Solanum lycopersicum: one gene and its partners. The protein of the gene in region 1 binds, or shares a complex with, the protein of each later gene. Links are inferred from orthologs where the notes say so. Each region holds a gene or a part of one and is shown on either strand. Other genes may lie near its edges.

Region 1 (4,230 bases):
GTTGTAAAATAGGTCATCAGTTCAACTACCTATGCATAGTAGTTTTGACTTTCTGCAGTTTTTTGAGTACATGTGGAATACTGTCCATCTCTGCTTAGCATTTGCTTATCAGGATGTTGTTTTAATGTGAACCAATTCTTGTGATGAAAGGGAGTCTTGTAGTTAAGATTGTAATGATAATGAGTAAAGCCCGTGTCTTTAACTTTAACCTTTCATTGTTAGAAAAACCTGTACCTTTGTTATGTAGTTTCATATATCGACTGCCAGTTTCTAAGCTTGTTAAAGATGTGCCAGCCTAGAACTTGTATACCCCCTTCACAGAATAGCTAAGTGGACGGAAATGCTAAATATTTGATCTTCAGTGTGACAAGTTCGAATCATAATGGCCTCTTGGCTACTCTTGCTCAGTTTTTTCGCTCTTTTACTTCTACCTATTAACCATGTGTAGGAGAAAGAACCCGTTTTTTGTAGATACTGATGTAAGACCTATTACTAGTATAGATATAGATAGTAGTTCTGAATACTGAATGCTTCTAGGAGAGTGATGAGGGGTCAAAAGAGACTGGATTTTGATCTTTCTAGCAACAAAAAACAGCATACCCAGTGTGATCCCATCAGGTTTGGGGAGGGTGATGTGTATGCATGCCTTGTGAAGGATACACCTTGCTGCTCATGTAAATTCTTCTAACCCAGTAAACTATTACCCTGTTTTGGGTGTTGGGCTCATGTCATAACTCATAAGCCAATATCTTTGTTTTGTGGATATATACTTAATATATACACCTGCTTCCACTTCTATTGCAAACTTCCAATTATCCTTTTTATCTTCTATTTTCATAAATGGAAGATCCAATTGATATATTCAATTAGTCATTCGTCAAGTACATTGCCAACAACATAATCATGTACAAGATCACAATTCTCGATTCAACAAACATAACTCGAACAATGCAATTTGATTTAACATATAGAAAGTGCTATGTTTTTGTTATGCTAAATACATTACAATAGATTCTTTGTTCATTAGGAGATCTTCACCAAATTATTTATTCAAAACTTTGCTTACTTCTACCTCCTTATACTATAGTTAAGAGGGAACACAAACTGCCAATAAATAAATAAATATGGCCTCTTATAGTCACTTTAACTTGGTTAATTTTGATTTTGATCCTTATAATATCGAACTAAACACATTTAATCTTGAATTGATTAATTCTTTTAAAGAGGATTAAAGTATTTTTAGACGAATATTACCGTAAAACATGAAATACCAATACAATTTCATATTATATGAAAATTAAGTGATAGAACAATTAACCATCACTTTCAATTAATTAAAAATAAATCAAATTTAATCCATGACTTAAATTTTGCAAGAAAAAAATAAAAAGAAAGGAGTAAAGTAGCATTTACAAGTCTTGAGGGTATCTAAACAAAAAAAAAGCAATAAATTTCACTTGTACAATTTTACCAACTCAGAACTGAAAATTGTGAATTTCCTCTTTCTTATCCACTTTATCTCCCTCAAGAATGGCGTCTTCTTCTTCTTCTCCATCAGTACTTCCATCTCTTACCTCCACTCTCTCTTCTTCTAAACCTTCAATACCCTTCAACTTCAAAGGTTTCACCAAAAGGGTCAACAATTCTGGGCAAATCTTGAAAGCCCAAACTCTAGAATTTTCGGGCTCGTTTTTCGAGGGTGGATTTGGAGGAGGAAATGCTGATGAACCACCGACTACACCATGGTCGGGTATTTCTGCAGTTGAAGATAAAGAGGAACCGCAGTGTCCACCTGGGTTACGCCCTTATGAAACAATGGTGGTATTGAGACCTGATATGTCTGAAGATGAAAGACTTGCTCTTACCCAGAAATACGAAGAGGTAACAATGATTGTTTTTGTTTTTGGAAACTGATATAACTTGCAAGGTGCTAAGCTCAATTTGGGTGGATTCTAAGTTTTCAATTGCTGATTTGACTGTTTGAGCATTAGAGTTGAAGTTGAGAGTTCTAAAGATTGAATTTTTGAAACTAATATACTGTTTCTTTCCATTTTGTTTGGCGCATTTTGCTTATTTAGGGTCAATTTGATTGACTTTTGGAGATAAATTGAACTAGACTAATTCCTTTTGTATGAGAAAGTATTATAATTCTCTTAGTATCCCGAGTGTTCTCCGGAAACAGCCTCTTTACCTCCAATATATAGGTGTATGGTCTGCGTATACTCTACCCACAGACCCCTCTTGTGATGTTTCACTGTTTTTTTGTTGTTGTTATTGTAATTTTCTTAGTATCTATGCTGAAGGCAAAGAATAAATTTTTAATATGTTTGTCATAGTTCATGAATGAGAAGTGAAGGTTGCCACACATTAGGACTGAAGGAGTAAGTATTTTTATCAGAAGTTGAGCTGCATATAGTATCATTTGATACTCTTCAGCTGATTTCATTGTGAACTGGGAAATGAAGATAATTATACTCATTTGAAACAGGGAGATCATTTAGGAAACAGAACAAGTGATTGATATTTGGTTTGACATGATGAGAATTTCTTCCATTCCCCTCTCTTGGCTAAAAAAACTGTTTTTTTTCTTTCTTTGTCTGCTAAGAGGCGGAAACCTGAAAGCAAAAGCAATATCGACCTTGCAATTTATTTAAGCACAAGATTGTCCAAGAATATTCTTCCTTTTTGTTTTTTTGTCTACTCACTAGAAGGCCATTCTTTGGAAAAATCAGATATTTGAACCTAACAACAGTCAACAGTGTTTGGGTGCATAATTCAACATTTTGTTATAATTTAAGCTGACATGGACATGATCTAAGTAAGAAGAAAGTTAGTCTCAGCTTCTGCTACAATTTTCATTCTTCTTGTTCCCATGTAAGAGCTTTCATTTTTAATCTTGTTCTTTTTCTCTATCTGCTTTTCGAGTCCAAAAGCCTTGGTCTGATGACTATTATCACCTTATCATTCTTCTTTGTGAACATGGATGATCATTGTATTTTTGTTTGCCCATCTCATTTTTGATGTTATAGTCGACGTCTATAAGAAAAATAGGCTTGCAAAGCTGCGGAGGACAATAATAGAAGTACTTAAAGTTGATGAAACTCTATTTTCTACATGACCCGTTTACTACTGTATTTCCGTTTCTTACTGATTGTTGTTTTGTTTCACTTGAGCCGAGGGTCTATTTGGAATAGCTCTATACCTTTACTAGGTAGGGGCAAGGCTGCGTACCCACCAACATCCCCATATCCCGCATGTGGGATTGCACTGAGTATGAAAGGACTTAAAGTTGATTAAACTATCTGTCATCTTTCACCTACAAATGATTGGGGAAACTTTCACTTAGTTAAATCCCTGATAAGCTTGAAGAGAGAAAAAAGTTAAGCATCAGCACACGTGTCTTTGTTCTATGTTTGTTCCAACATTTACTGCGTTTCAGCTTTTGCCTAACAGGTCAATCAAATAGACACACTTGTAAGTGCCAATGTTTCCCATGTTTTGTGTTTCTCTTTGTCAGATACTCCGTCTAACCAACCAAAGAAACTCTCTTCAACATGGTATCGGATCAGGCTCTCATTGCCACACATTATCAAAAAAGGATTTACACAAGTCCACACGTGAAGGGAAATATTAAAATTATACTTGACCATCTCATCTAAAAGTACATAATAGACTTATAGTAACTCTGTTATGGATTGAACAGTTCTAACTAATATTGTCTCCGATCAATTTCAGTTGTACATGCTATTTGACGATGCAAGTTATAATCTTTTGTTTTTCTTTCTCTTGGGCAGTTGCTGGTTGCTGGTGGTGGTATGTATGTGGAAGTCTTCAACCGAGGGGTTATTCCACTTGCATACAGCATTAGGAGGAAAAACAAAGCTGGAGAGACAAATACGTACTTGGACGGTATCTACCTCCTGTTCACTTATTTTACTAAACCTGAATCCATTGTAGCTCTTGAGGCAACATTGGTAGCTGATGATGATGTTATCCGGTCGTCCACTTTCAAGATTAGGAAAAGAAAATACTAGTTTGGTTGGTTAGTTTAATTTGTGTATCTGTTCAGTTGTAAAAGACGATAACAGAGAGCAGGCAAGTTTTCCTCATCGCGCCTTTCAGATGTTTAAGTCATGACAGTCCTTTTCACAGCAAAACAGTATCAATTTGTAACATTCTTTTATATTACTGAAAGTTGCCATTACATTCTGCTCAAGTATCCTCCAATTT
Region 2 (3,996 bases), on another chromosome or scaffold:
GATGAATATGTTATTGTCGTTGTTCAACCCCAAGCTATATGGTAAGAAATATAAATCACTAGCCTAATTCAACCCCAAAACTTAACTCATTAAAGGGATAGTCCAAGACCATATAAGGATACCAAATGACCCTATCCCAACCAATGAGGGACACTTTAACAATATATGATGGGGCCAACATCGAAAACGATGAATTGCGATGGGTCTGGATTAGATACCTTTGATGAGAAATGAATCTTGGACCTAGCAAATGGAGAAGGATTAGCCAAGACTATATAAAGAGACCAAATGAGCGTACTATCCCCACGACGTGCGATACTCAACATAGATAAATTCCTACCATCAGTACAATTTAATTTTGTTTCTGTTAGATGTTAATATTCATGAAGAACCAAGGCTAACATTTTAAGATATATAGTTTACAATATGATCCAAAAACTAAAGGAAACAAGAGGAAAATCTAAACAAACAAATTGAATAAGTTTTGACTGACCTTTCAAGTGAAAAAAGTTACAACATAACAGGCATGATTGCTAAAGATAAATGATGAACAGTGGCAGCATGACAAATCTTGTTCTATGAAGGCTTAGGCTAAATCACCACCACTCTGTTGCCACAAATTGATGATATCCGTGGCCTGATTAAGAAGAATAATTGCCTGTTTCTGGGATATCCATGGTTTACTCTCGAGCATGACTTTAAGTTCCTCCCAAGCATCTTTTCTAGGCCAAAAATAGTAGGGGCTCAACGGAATCGTGCCATGACCAGGAATTACCTGGTCTAGTGAAATTCCGATGTTCTTCTCCATCCAAATAAACTTCAACACTAGCCTAGGTTTCTCCAGTGGCTTGACCAACACACCGAGCTTCTGTACATCCAGCAGATTGTAAGAGCCAAACACCATAATGAAAATGGTGCAAATATTATGAAATTCTTAAAAAACTAAATAAAATGAGAATCAAACACCAAAATAAAGATATTGCAGACATAACTATGTAAATCAAAGCAGTTCGTCTCTAACCATTGAACTTATAAATGTCTTGAGACATTCACGCAGCATAGTATTAAAGTACACAGATGCATTGGTACGAAGAACCAGCCATCAATTTGGTCCAAGAAAGAAACAGAGCCGAGGAGACGTGTTGCATACATAACAAAATAAATAAAAACAATTTTTTTTAACAGGTTAAACAACTAAATGAGACATTCACCCAACATCGTATTAAAACGACAGATGCACTGGTTTGAACCGTCATCCATCAACTTGGTTCAAGAAAAAAGAATCGGAAAAGAAAACTAATCAAACCCGTGGAGATCTGTTGCAGCCTTTCAGACATAATAAAAATAAAGATAAAAGACCAATTTTGCTTTTTAAATTTTTGAAATAGGACAATTATGTCCTCCATTTCGTTTTATGAAACAAAAATGCCATCGCTGTTAGCCAAGTGGCTCAAAATTTCCCTACTCACTAACGGTTGTCCCACTCAGATGGAAAAGGGACAAAGTTATCCTCCAGTCCTTAAACAAAGTCAATATCACCCACAAAATTTTGGAACCAATGAGGCATCTGGTCATGTTTAACATTTTATATATCATCCCTAACGAAAACAAATTTATTTGCTTGGTCATTAATGAATATTGATTAGGTATTAAGAACTTGTTCTTGATAGCAAATCTTCACAAATTAATGCTATCTTTTACGAGAAAGACCTTTTTCCTGTCAACTGAAAAAAGATACTAATAACGTTCCCATAGTATAAAGTTAACTCGAATATCTACTTTACGCTAGTACGGAGAGATTGAATGTTATGATATAACTGAATACAAACTTACACTTTGATCAACTTAAAAGATGATAGCATAGTAAGAATGTGATTTATCAAGCCAGCTAATGGCAAAGGTATTTTTGTGCCAAAAACCGAAACGGACAACAAAGTAATCTTATTTCAAATAGTTCAAGAGAAAAATTGGCCCTTTTCCTATAAATAAATCTGCCCCATTATTCCTAAGCTTACAACTTTTCTTTTTTAAAATTAGTATTCCAATTTCCAGGCGATCCCCAAATCGGAAGAAACTACATATTATTCTTCATAGTGCCTCTGGTGGATTATTACATGGTCTTCCATTGTAATCTTTTTCATTCTAGTTCTATTGACAATTAAGACACACCCTTGGATGCAAAATCTTTTAACATTAAGAGGATGGTTCACTTCCCACAATTCAACAAAAAACTAAAGGATTATAACGGGCAGCGCGATGCACTAAGCTCCCTCTGGACCATGTACTGTCCACAGCCTGGTGCACTAAGCTCGCCCCCGAAAACAAGGGCCAGTTGTGCAGGTGTTGGTTGGTTAACAAACAGAAACCAAACAATGGATAGGAAATAATCGCAGCATTACTGATACTTATACACACTCTACCAAACAACACCTAAGAGGGAAGTCAGAGAGTGAAAATTACCTCTTTTTGAAGAGAATCTGAGGAAATAGAATCACGGGTCGATGTTTCTTCAGCAAAACTCAAGGCAGCCGCAGCTGAAGTAGCAAAACCCCCAAGATTTCTTCTGGGTACGATTGCTGAGACATTAGAACGTCGAGAAAAAGACTGCCCCTTTGTAAAGAAGACAAATTTGGGTGAAAAAAATTGGTTTTGAGAAGAAAACGCAGGAACCCAATTCACAGTAAGCTGTGTAGCCATTGATAACATCATTTTCAACAGCTAAGGGGAAACTCAGAGCTTCTCTGTCATTGTGTTGTGTTCTTCATCAAAGTCTAGATAAGAAAAAAAGATCCGACACAATATAACCCGACCCGGATTTTTTGGGGTTGGGTAAATCTATTTAAATGATAGCCTAATATCACGGATTTCGACTTTAAAAGTGACGGATCATGATACTAAACTTTATAAACTATCGAATATCCACCAAAAATTAACTTAGCAAACTTTAGTGTTGGGACTATACTTTAGGTTATTGTTTAATTATTTGGACTAATTTCAGGCTAATTTAGGCCGATATAATTGCAACAATAGCCTAAAATTTCTGAATTATATGTTATTTGTGGATTGGAGTACAATTTTTGGATAATTTTAGATAGGATATATTTCTAACAATGAGATTATATTGTAACAACAATGCTTACTCAAATGATTATTCTATGTCTGGACATTTTATTCAAAGAAAAAAATAAACTTGGTTCTCTATCCTTAAGATGATTGTGATACAATGGATGGTAAAAGGTTTAACGAAACCAGAAATTATAGTGATTCAGCGGCTAAGAAGGGACCTAGAATATTTACGACTCCACTTTTAAATACCCTTCACTCCCTTTAAAATGAAGTCTTTCTTTTTTGATAAAGTGATCAAAACTCGTAAAATAAATCAATATATCATAATATTATAATGTATATCAATATCATCTATGAATCGCAATAACATAAAATATGTTAGAATAATTAACTCGAATCGAATAAAGAGGAAAAAAAAGAAAAGAGGAGGCCAAATACAAAATGGTCAAAAAGTGTAGTTTTGGAGTAAACTAACCCAAAAGAAAACCGTGAAAGCCAGCGCGACTCTAACAAGCAGCCACACCAAACAGTCCTTTAAAACGGGTCAACCCGTGAAACACGTAAATCTTCAATAACCCTTTCTTTTTTGGCTTTAAATTCACTTCAATTTTTTTCATTTTTCCTTCTCATTCAATATCCTTCTAATTGGAGTTTCTTCTTCTTCGTTAGAGACATCAATCACCAGGTAAGTTGTCCAATTCAGTTTTCATGTTATTGATTGGTTCAGATTTAGAGATATACCATTAGATTCTGTTGCTGGTCTCTCTACTTCATAGAGACAATACACTTGTAGATAAAATGTTCAATAATCCTTTGAAGTCTTCCACTTTGTTTGAATAATTGTTATGTATTGTCACATAATGTATCGTATTCAATGGCAGAGCCACCTTATAGTTAGGTTCATCCCAACCTCGTTCGGCGGAAAATTAT
Region 3 (3,669 bases), on another chromosome or scaffold:
CGGACTTATTCAAGAGTGACGTTCCTAACAAAATTTTCTTGATACCTAGGGCTTGAACTTGCAATTAATTAGAGCCCCGACAAATTCTGATCGCGGCGCATTGTGGACTCATTCAAGAGTGGCACTCCCAGCAAAACTTTCCTCATACCTAAGATTTTAAACGTGAAACATCTGATTAAGGGTGACACAATTTCATCATTACGCCACAATTTATATTTAAAAATAAATTAAATTTAATGATTTAATAAAGTAGAAATACATGTTAATTAATCATAAATTAAAATTATTGTGTATGTTTCAATACATATACATATTATGCATTTATTTATTTGCGATAAACATCTAATATGGATAAATTTTAATTTTTTCAATGGGTGGCAATTAAGTTGCTATTTATAATGCCGCATAAACAGTTATTAGTTATTGCTAGCAAATTCGTAGGATTTTGCAATTGGAAGGTGTTTTATTTTTAGGAATTTATAAAGTAAATTACTCACAACTCATAAGAATCGTTTGAAGTACCCATTAAGATGTAATTTATAGGATTAGTAAGTCATGAAATTTATTAGTTATAATCTTATAATATTAAAATTACTAAATTAATGGAGTATTAAAATTTATAAAATTCTTTACTTTAAAAATAGGTTCTCTCTAATTTTCTCTAAAATATTCTTCTTGTTCTTGCTTTATTATTTTATAACCACTTCTAATCTTATGTTGTTTATAAGAATTTTTTATTGTTGCCCATGAGAGATCTTTATTTTTATGCCTACAAAATTTTAAAAGATCAATTTTCTTTTTATTCAATTGGTAAGTGATCATGTAAATTTATTTTCAACTCGCATTTCTATCGCCCCAAATTTAGGTTAGGCCTTAGATAAAAAGAGCGATATCAGAAATGAAATGTAGAGATTTCTTTGTAAAGCTAATATTTTCTTCATTTCAATTAGATGTAATACGAAGGCTACAATTACATGTTACAACCAAAACATAATATGAAATTTCAGATGTAAAATAGAAGTAATGTGACGTGTAAAATGTGTAGAGTACTGATATAATGTCTAGTTATGTTAAATTATTAATAATATTTATAAAGTGCATAGTAATAAATTACTATCGTCTTAATGAGTTATCGATTCATCCAATAACCAAATACTAAAAATTGATACCTAATCAAAAACCCTTTATAGATCCGTTAAAAATCCATTAACTCAATAATTCAATAACCCAATAACATTTTTTTAATAGGTTTATTGATCGATTCGATTTTTCCACATCCTTATTGGGAGGTGACAGTATGATAGACATCGGTGAATTTAGTCGAGTGCATGAAAACTAGCCCGAATACCATATTAATAAAATAAAATTTAAAAAAAAAAAAAAAAGAACAACCGGGGCTCCATATTAGCAAACCAGGTCGAAAAGAAGAACTCCATTCCCTATCCAATTTTCCCCAATAGGATAAGAAAAATAGACCAGCAAAAGGCTCTATCTTCTTCCTTCTTCAATTTCTTCATCAATCAAGATTTTCAACAATGGCGCAAACACTAGCAACTCCTGTACTTCCTTCTCTTTCCCTTATCTGCAACACATCTTCCATCTCCAAGCACAGTTCCCTCTCTTTTTCTACTCCCACATCTTTTCCAAAGGTACACTTCACTCCCTTCTCTTGAAATTTGCAGTAATCAAACATGGAGTTTGCTGAAGTTTACATTTTTTGACCTTTTTCGTGTAGGAATTGGAATGGGGTTTGTCTTTTTTTTTCTCGCAATTTTCTCAGTAACCAAACATGGGTTTTGCTAAAGATTACTTTTTTTTTTACCTGAGTAGGAATTGGAATGAGTTTTTGGATTTTTCGAAATTTTCTCAGTAACCCAACATGAGTTTTTTTTGCTAAAGTTTCCGTTTTTTTGAGGTGGGATTGAATTGAGGTTTGCTTATTTTTCATATTTTTGGACTTTTTTGAGTTGGAATTAAATTGGGTTTTGCTAAATTTTCCATGATTTTGAGTTTGAACTGAAATGAGTTTTGTGTAGACTGCAGGTTTGGTTATAAAGTGTGTGCGTGTGGGAGGAGTGGAAGTTCCAAACAACAAAAGAGTTGAGTTCTCTTTGCAATACATTCATGGAATTGGCCGCACCACTGCACGCCAGATTCTGGTAGACCTTCAAATGGAGAACAAAGTGATGAAAGACATGTCGGAAGAGGAACTTATCACTCTTCGTGAAGAAGTCTCTAAGTACATGATTGAAGGAGACCTTGTGAGTTTCATTGCTCTAATTTGTACTCATTTGTTTTCGTTCCAATGTGCATATCCTTATTGAAACTTATATGCTTAGGTAATTTGATTTCGATATCTAGTTCATGTAACTTTGCTGTGGTTGCTGTTTATTTTAGCTCTATAGTTTAACTTAATGCCATTTGGGGTTCTAAGAAATTTAATTCATTTTGTCTCAAGATAGGAATTGAACCAAAAAAACAATATCTTAAACCAATCTTTGGTCCAACTTTTACATGGAAAGAACCATATTTGAGCTGAAACTGCATTCTACATATCTTGAGATTAAAACCAGAAGATCGAAAAATCTTCTTTACTTTCTTAAACTTTGTGTCAAGTCAAATCCGGACAAACAAATCGAAACAAGGGGAGTTATTGTTAGGTGGGTATGTAGGATCATGGCTTCTATATGCATCACAGCCTTATCCCAAATTAAACAGTTCTTATGGAAATGTATTTCAGAAGAAATCGATAGCTTGTTTAGCAATTGGCAATGTTGATTGAGATTCTTGTGTATAAGGTTGTTTGTTTGATTGATGCTTCGGCTTCCTATTTGAAACGGGAAAATTGATTACATACTTGTGGTGTTGGCATCAGAGGAGATTCAATGCTCTTGCCATTAGGAGGTTGAAGGAGATTCAGTGCTATAGAGGAGTAAGGCACATCCAAGGATTGCCTTGCAGAGGACAACGAACAAAGAACAATTGCCGTACTTTGAAGGGCAAGAAAGTAGCAATTGCAGGGAAGAAGAAGGCACCTCGTTAAATCAAGATCGATTTTTCATTTCTTTTGGTAACTAACTTGTAAAAGTTACACTCTATATTCCTATGGCAAACTGTGCATTTGTTTGTTATAAACAGTTTTTTCCATTGAAATCATTTTTCTACATTTCAAGATAAGAGCTTTTCAAGAAGAATGTTGATGCTTAGGCATAATCTCTTCCTTAAATCTTGTTAAATGTGTTTCATGTGGAGTAATTGCGAATTTACGTTATTCTGATTGGATGATTTGGTTGACAGGAGAAAGGTTTGTTAAGTTACGTTAGGTGTCATAATAATTGTTGATGTAACGACCTATGAAGTGCAGTCCCTATCTATGAGCCTTGGTTTAAGCTTCAAGTTCAGTAATGTGTTTGGGCCAAGTATTTGCATTAATGTGATACCAAAGTTTTACAATTTGAGTCATAGCATTGTTAATGTAATGACTCGTTAGGTCATTTTGAGAATTAACTAAAAGCATAGAGTTTGTGGCACCTTTTTGTCACATGCATGAGCATGAAAGTTAAGTCCCACCCCTTTAGTACTCAAGAAGGTTCACTTTTCTCAGGTTTCTTGAAGACCATGACTTCTGTTTTTCAATAGTGATGATGTTCAGATCAATTTACACGTATT
Region 4 (3,360 bases), on another chromosome or scaffold:
GAGAAGAAGTTCCTCAAGACGTCGATTTAAATCACATATTTGAATAAATACTAACGTGAATGATCGATCTATTGTGTTTTTTTTCTGTAGGGAAATGGCTATATTATTTGTTCTTGATTTTCTGTGTCTAGATTGAGTAGAGTGATTTGCATGGGAGCTGTTCACCACCACCAACAACAACATCTACGGTTCAGTACCAAACAAGTTGAGGTCGACTATATGAATCTGTACTGTCATAGTTCGAGGTCAATTTTGTGGTCGATAATAAGTGAATTGAGTTCTCAAATTTTTGTAGAGTAGGGTATTTCATCTTTTGACTGACTTGTTATTAATATATTTTTGTATTTTTGAGTGAGTTTGGTAAAAAAAAAATTATAATCAATTGGGAATGTCTTGTATGATTAATCATTGTGTTACTTCCTACATTGTATATCAACGTACATTTTTTTCTTTTTTCTTGTCTTTTAAGAAATATTAAAAATATTTATTTTTTTACTAATTTACTGTTATAATTATTTTTCATAAATTCTATTTTTTGTGTCTTTATCTGTTAATAACAAAAGAGGAACTTTACAATATTTATATTTTTAATCAAAAAGAGTCGATTTAAGGTGCAAAATGGAAAAAAATAGAATTAATTTTTTAATTTGACAAGTAATTTTGAATAAATATCTTTGTTAATGTAGACAAGTAGTCTGTCATAGAGGTGTACTATTATCTCATTACTTCTCTTAATTATTATATATGTTAAAATTTCTTTATGTATGTGATGAAATCTAACTATATTTATACTCCCTCCGTCTCATTTTGCAATTTATTTGTCTATTTTCACACATAAAAAAAGATAATTTTTTTTCTTATTATATTCTTATTTAAGCTTCCTGAAAATTTTTAAGTTTTAATTCATCTTTTTCGAAATCATAATTAATAAGGGCAAAATTGTAACTTCACTATTCTAATTATTGCTATATTAATATGTTTGTCATTTCTAAAATGGACAACTAAATAGGAACAGATAGAGTTTGAGATAACACTATTATTCCTTATTTCTCGTTCCAAACAATCCTTTTCAGGTCTCAGTTTATTGCTTGATATACTTTTACATAAAAAATAATTGATCTTCTGATAACTTGAATTCACAATTTTAAAGTTTAAAATGAATGGTATTTACCATCCAAGTAACTCTTAACGTTTTTTTTTTTAAAAAAAAAAAACAAGGAAAAATAAGTGAATTTTACCTTAATTCAGGGGTATTTGAATAAAAAAAAGACAAAGGGCACATTATCTAGAAACAGAATAAGAAGCTATAGAACCACCACAAATAAAATCTCAATTCTATCAGTTGAGCTGCTGCAATGGCGTCGTTGTTAGTTGGTTCAGTTCCTATGAGTACTGTTCAATCCATGGCTTCTCTTTCTCCTAATTTATCATTCTCTCGTTCTCACTCCGTCGCCGGCAGCGTTTCAATTACGGCGGCATCTCCTTCACCATCAATTTCGTTTTCGTCTCTCACTGATTCAAATCTCCCATTGGGTACGAATCACATACCTTTTCGAATTTATTGTTTGTGAAAATTTTGTGATGATTGAAGTTTCAGTTCGAGAAATTGAAATTTTGATTTGATTTCATTTTCAGTTTACTGCGGTAGAGGTGATAAGAAGACGGCGAAAGGCAAGCGGTTCAATCACTCCTTTGGCAATGTGAGTTTGTATATTTTGGTTTATTGCAGGATAAGACCTCCTTAATATGATTTAGTTTCAGATACACCCCTGTATATTTTATAAACAAACACTTACCTCCTCTATATTAGGAGAATCCTACACTAACATTCTAGTTTGATACGTGGAATAAGAATAATAATCTCGAAATAGAATTTGAGATTAAATTTATTGCATATTTGAGTTAAAGGTATTGGCTTAAAATAACGAGTGTATCGAAGATGAATAAATAATTCCATGAGATATTTAATGTATTTATGCCTTTAAATTTTAGAAAAGAGAAGTATGTGTTTTGTTGAAATTGATAAATAAGATATCAACACAAATTACTTAATATGAATAATTTTTTAACTCATATTTGATTAAATGAATGTTAATTCCATATAAAATGATTTATAGATTCACTTGGAATAAGATTATTGGTGCATAAGGTTTTGCATAATTAATGCAGGAGTTTAATGCTTTTAATATTATAGAATTTTATACTGAGATTCAATTGTTCATACATTTAGACGAATTGACCCCTAAAAAGTTTTGAAGTTTATTTTTGATTGCAACCTAGATGCATCTCGACTAATTTTATCAATAGATGGGATAAATTACCTAGTGTTATTTTGTCTCTGATAGAATTTGAACCTGAAACCTCATGATTCTCGACCCTCTTCGTTAACCACCAATGTTGATGATAGATTCAAAATAGTCTGTTAAATATGCTCTAACCAATTTTTAGTACTTTGAAGTTTAGAGTGTTATCATCATACGTTTAACAATTTATGTTCGTTAGATTTGACAGAAATAGTGAAAAAACAACAGTTGTTTCGACATTTTTTGTTGTTATTTTGAACTGATTCCGATGGTATGAATTGGTTTAGGCAAGGCCAAGGAACAAGAAGAAGGGAAGAGGACCACCTAGGGTTGCAGCACCACCAGCAGCACCAAAGAGAGATCCATTTGATGATGGCCAAGTCGTTAAAATTGAAATACATGACCCATAGTTTTCTCGGAGGAGCAATTTCATTTTTATGTAGCTCTAATCTTCTACTACTTTGTTTATTTCATTGAAATATCGATTAAGTTAATCATTTGGACTGAGATTTCTAGTTTGCTTGAAGGGTCTTCGTTTAAATGCTCTTGTGTCCTGTTAAATTATGCATTTTGGTTCTAGCAACCTTCAGTAGACAAGTGGTAATAGTCACTACTTTAGCTATTGAGAAAAGTGAAAAGCTTAGAGAACCCCACATTCCTTATGGGTTGAAAACCACGAGGTTTTAGGTTCATATACTAGCGGAGACAAACACATTAGGAGGTCTTTTTGTAGAGTGTATAAGAATAGTAATATATAGTGTATTACTAATGCTGGGATTAGTTATGTTGGAGCTATTTCCTACCCACTATTTGGTTTGATATATTATCAAGGGCACTTTGGCCTCGAACAAAGAAAGGATCAAAAAATGTCATAGCTAATACATCCTACCAAATGACCCCTAGGTGGTTCTTATTTAGACCTTCGTGGATAGAATTACTCCATATCTGTGCTGGTTGGAGGTAACCTTTACCTCGAAGAATTAGTCAAGATGTGAGTGAGCAAATCCAGTCACAAAAAAACTTCTTTTGTTTGGGTCACCAAGTTTGTCTGCGTCCA
Region 5 (3,476 bases), on another chromosome or scaffold:
ACATCCTTATCACATAGTACCCTAGTACGAACCTTCATTTTATCCAGTCCATTTCAATTATGCAATGTACGATATCATCATCAATCTCCGTTCTTCCGGGATACGACACCTCTAGCCCAATATTAGCTCTTAGGAAAAATAAAACCAAGCGTCACATTGATCATAAAAATATACTTTTTTGTGTATGTAAAGGGCAAATTATAAGTATGAATTGAATTAGTGGTTTCTTCAAATTTGCAACTCATTTTGATCACTTCATAATTAATATGACTAATATTAATATTATTATTTTTTTATTATATGATTTTGTCAATATCATAAAATTCAGCTCAAGTAATGTTTTTTCTTCATAAACTTGAATGAGTAGTACGCATGGACATATATATCAAAAGTCGTCTCTTTTACTAATTATGTAGAAAATGACATTGAAAGAAAAATATTTATGATATATGAACTTCATTTTCAATTTTTTTTCAGATCTTATTAAAAAGATGGCTTTTTATTAATACCAATAAGAAAGAATGTAGCTCTAGGACATTCTTAATATGCCCCTCTTTTGTTAATATTAGAGATTTAATTTCACGAATAGTCAAAGAGGCATACATATATCACACTCATCCACATGTTCAAGGCGCAACATCTATCTCAAAAAATGATTTTCTAAAAATAATAATGATAGACGTGTTAAAAAAGTAATGTGAAGTCATTGTCGAGAGAGTTGCTGACTAATGACCTAAAAAAGTACGTAACATTTGAGAAGCACGAACAATCTTCACCCATGAGATACATTCTACTTTTTTTTGAATAATCAGATAATATTGATCAATTTGATTAGGGATGACAAAATTAATCTATAAAAATCTGATACTCATAAGTTTTGTCTACTAAGAATTGTAAACTTGATAAAAGTTGAACATATTAGACTACGACAAAATACTAACCCATCTTATCTCAAATTTATAATCTTCAAACAAATCGATACCACTCGTTTATCAACACAACTTTAACTCTCAAAAAATTGTTCAATCCGCTCGTTTGACATCCCGAATCAACTCAACGTTGCTAAATATACAAAATTAGTAAAGCTATGATAACTAATGATCATATTTCTTTTGGGCCCAAATCCCATAACATGACCAAAGTCCTCACCCATAGGCCTCTTAGCCCAATTTAAACAACTTTCATTTTTTTTCTTCTATTACCTTATCCATTCTATCATTATCTCAAATTCTCTATACACACTCTTTTTAAGGCCACAATTTTCCCACTTCACTTTTTTTCATCACTAGACAAATATTTTTTTTATCTACACAAAAAATGTTATCAATGTCTGTTCAATCTAGCTTGAAAGGCAATTTGAGTATCCCTTCTTTACCTTCACAAAATCCAGGTTATAAATCCTTCAAATCATGTTCTTCATTATCTTTTAACAACAAAGGTTTATCAACAAGAAGAATTCATAAGATTTTTGCTTCAGCAGTTGCAGAAGCAGAATCAGTTGAAGTTGAGACTTCAGAGTCTGTTGTTCAAGAAATTGAGGTAAAAAATCAGCTCTTTAATTTTCAATTAGGTAACTTTTTTCGATAACTTAGTGTCTAGATTAGTTTTTGCGCTACTCAATTAATTTCATGAATGGTAGTGTTACTTCTCACTAGTAAAATTGAGTAATCTTTGTCTGATTTTGACTTGATACGTAATTTAAGAATGTAAATACTCCCTCAATCCATCTTTACTTGGTCATTATATTAAAAATAGTCGTCTAACAATACTTGTCCAATTTGAAAAACATGAAAACCCTTGATATTGAATACTACTATTCAATATATAATACATTTTCCAAAGCATCAAATTTATATTCAAAGGATAATATAGTAATATTTTAGAATCATTTGATATATACGACAAATCTAGAATTTTTAAGTCTTTGAATTCACTTTTACTATGATTATTTAACACGTACTGTGTTGTTCGACTTTTCTAAATATGAAATGGTAGTCCAACAACTTCTTAATGAAAATGAGTAATAACTAGCAAATTTATGAATGTTTTAATTAATAAAAAAAAGGCATAATTGGGGAAATATATTGATCATTTAGCTAAAAACAGAACAAAAATGGAGTTAAATTATAGCATTACCTATAAATATAAGTTATGTTTCGACAAAAACTAGATATATCAATTCGTACCCTCGAGCCCTAAAATTTTAGTGATGATGAATTCAACCTCTAGATCAAACATTTGTGTCATATACTTGCACCCGTACCAAAACAACATAATGTATGTACATATTGACCCAAAAATAACAGATTCAGTTGAACACTTGAACACATTTAACTCATCCTAGCTAGATACGCCTATGACAAAATCCAATCTCTGACTTCCACCCGTGTCAAATACTCAAACTCGTATTGAAACGTCTACATTATTAAAGATGAAAATAAGAAGTTCAGTTGAATGCACATAATTCATTCCAGATACGTACGACTATATAAATAATAAGCCCAAAAAAGGATAGGATATTATGTTTTGATATCTTATAGTGAATTCTTGGATATATTTTTTTCAGAAAGTTGATATGAAGAAAAAGGTAATTGAGAAGCCAAGGCTAGTGCTAAAATTCATATGGATGGAGAAAAATATTGGACTTGGCCTTGATCAAGTTTTACCAGACCATGGAAGTGTACCATTAAGTCCATATTTTTTTTGGCCTAGAAAAGATGCATGGGAAGAGTTGAAAACAACACTAGAGAGTAAGCCATGGATATCACAAAAGCAAATGATTATTTTGCTTAATCAAGCTACTGATATTATCAATTTGTGGCAGCAGAGTGGTGGAAATTTGACCTAATTGTTGTTTTTGGTATTTATTTGTAGACAAATTGTTTCAACTTTCTGTTTTTGTTTTATCTTATTTTTAACTGTACTATAGTTGATGGAGAATACAATTGGAATCATTTTTGTTTCATTTTTTAAATTGTTTAATGTGTTCTGACTGGACGATAAGATAATCAAAATTTGTGAATAATTTAATAAGATAGGTGAAATGAAGATAGTATCAACAAGTTTTATACGCACAAAATTGAAACCATGGCCGATTTTGTTTTCTTTTAATTCAATATATTTTTTAGCGATTGTTCATCTTCCACCGCCCGTTATATTTGGACTTTATTATGAACTAAAAGCCCGTAAAGTCTCTCTAGTTGGGTTGGTTCATCCTAACAAGGCCCATGGGCTCTATGGCAACTCTCACTTGAAACTTGCGATGGAAGAATCCTCTTTTCGTAATTAGTGGCTATACTAAGGGTAAGTTCCCGCGATGTTCAACTACGACATCGTATAAAGGCCTTCGTGCCCAATGTTTCCTGTGAATTCGAAGTACAGAAATTTTGACAGAAGTTTTTTTTCCCGCGCTCTGTGAATTCTCCAATCCATGGCTCCTAAAGCAGATAACACTGAAGGTAACTTCTCTCGCCGGA

Evidence for each region.
Region 2: small ribosomal subunit protein bS6c alpha (region 1) and small ribosomal subunit protein cS23-like share a complex: the UniProt entries of both Arabidopsis thaliana proteins name them as parts of the 30S ribosomal subunit. The link is inferred for Solanum lycopersicum from reciprocal best matches to the Arabidopsis thaliana genes AT1G64510 and PSRP3/2.
Region 3: small ribosomal subunit protein bS6c alpha (region 1) and 30S ribosomal protein S13 share a complex: the UniProt entries of both Arabidopsis thaliana proteins name them as parts of the 30S ribosomal subunit. The link is inferred for Solanum lycopersicum from reciprocal best matches to the Arabidopsis thaliana genes AT1G64510 and EMB3137.
Region 4: small ribosomal subunit protein bS6c alpha (region 1) and small ribosomal subunit protein bTHXc share a complex: the UniProt entries of both Arabidopsis thaliana proteins name them as parts of the 30S ribosomal subunit. The link is inferred for Solanum lycopersicum from reciprocal best matches to the Arabidopsis thaliana genes AT1G64510 and PSRP4.
Region 5: small ribosomal subunit protein bS6c alpha (region 1) and small ribosomal subunit protein cS23 share a complex: the UniProt entries of both Arabidopsis thaliana proteins name them as parts of the 30S ribosomal subunit. The link is inferred for Solanum lycopersicum from reciprocal best matches to the Arabidopsis thaliana genes AT1G64510 and PSRP3/1.

Annotation. Positions count from the first base shown.
Region 1 is NC_090807.1:67,612,535-67,616,764, reverse strand, and holds small ribosomal subunit protein bS6c alpha, read left to right. Parts: upstream 1-1,415; 5' UTR 1,416-1,530; coding exon 1,531-1,881; intron 1,882-3,794; coding exon 3,795-4,034; 3' UTR 4,035-4,216; downstream 4,217-4,230. UniProt on the Arabidopsis thaliana protein: Binds together with bS18 to 16S ribosomal RNA.
Region 2 is NC_090802.1:7,166,545-7,170,540, reverse strand, and holds small ribosomal subunit protein cS23-like, read right to left. Parts: upstream 2,817-3,996; 5' UTR 2,710-2,816; coding exon 2,461-2,709; intron 869-2,460; coding exon 587-868; 3' UTR 381-586; downstream 1-380. UniProt on the Arabidopsis thaliana protein: Component of the chloroplast ribosome (chloro-ribosome), a dedicated translation machinery responsible for the synthesis of chloroplast genome-encoded proteins, including proteins of the transcription and translation machinery and components of the photosynthetic apparatus.
Region 3 is NC_090804.1:939,418-943,086, forward strand, and holds 30S ribosomal protein S13, read left to right. Parts: upstream 1-1,456; 5' UTR 1,457-1,535; coding exon 1,536-1,649; intron 1,650-2,036; coding exon 2,037-2,261; intron 2,262-2,875; coding exon 2,876-3,043; 3' UTR 3,044-3,153; downstream 3,154-3,669. UniProt on the Arabidopsis thaliana protein: Located at the top of the head of the 30S subunit, it contacts several helices of the 16S rRNA.
Region 4 is NC_090804.1:66,172,226-66,175,585, forward strand, and holds small ribosomal subunit protein bTHXc, read left to right. Parts: upstream 1-1,132; 5' UTR 1,133-1,355; coding exon 1,356-1,533; intron 1,534-1,635; coding exon 1,636-1,700; intron 1,701-2,590; coding exon 2,591-2,713; 3' UTR 2,714-2,844; downstream 2,845-3,360.
Region 5 is NC_090804.1:4,043,264-4,046,739, reverse strand, and holds small ribosomal subunit protein cS23, read left to right. Parts: upstream 1-1,230; 5' UTR 1,231-1,317; coding exon 1,318-1,539; intron 1,540-2,566; coding exon 2,567-2,848; 3' UTR 2,849-2,965; downstream 2,966-3,476. Other genes in the region: homologous-pairing protein 2 homolog, read left to right, coding at 3,431-3,458. UniProt on the Arabidopsis thaliana protein: Component of the chloroplast ribosome (chloro-ribosome), a dedicated translation machinery responsible for the synthesis of chloroplast genome-encoded proteins, including proteins of the transcription and translation machinery and components of the photosynthetic apparatus.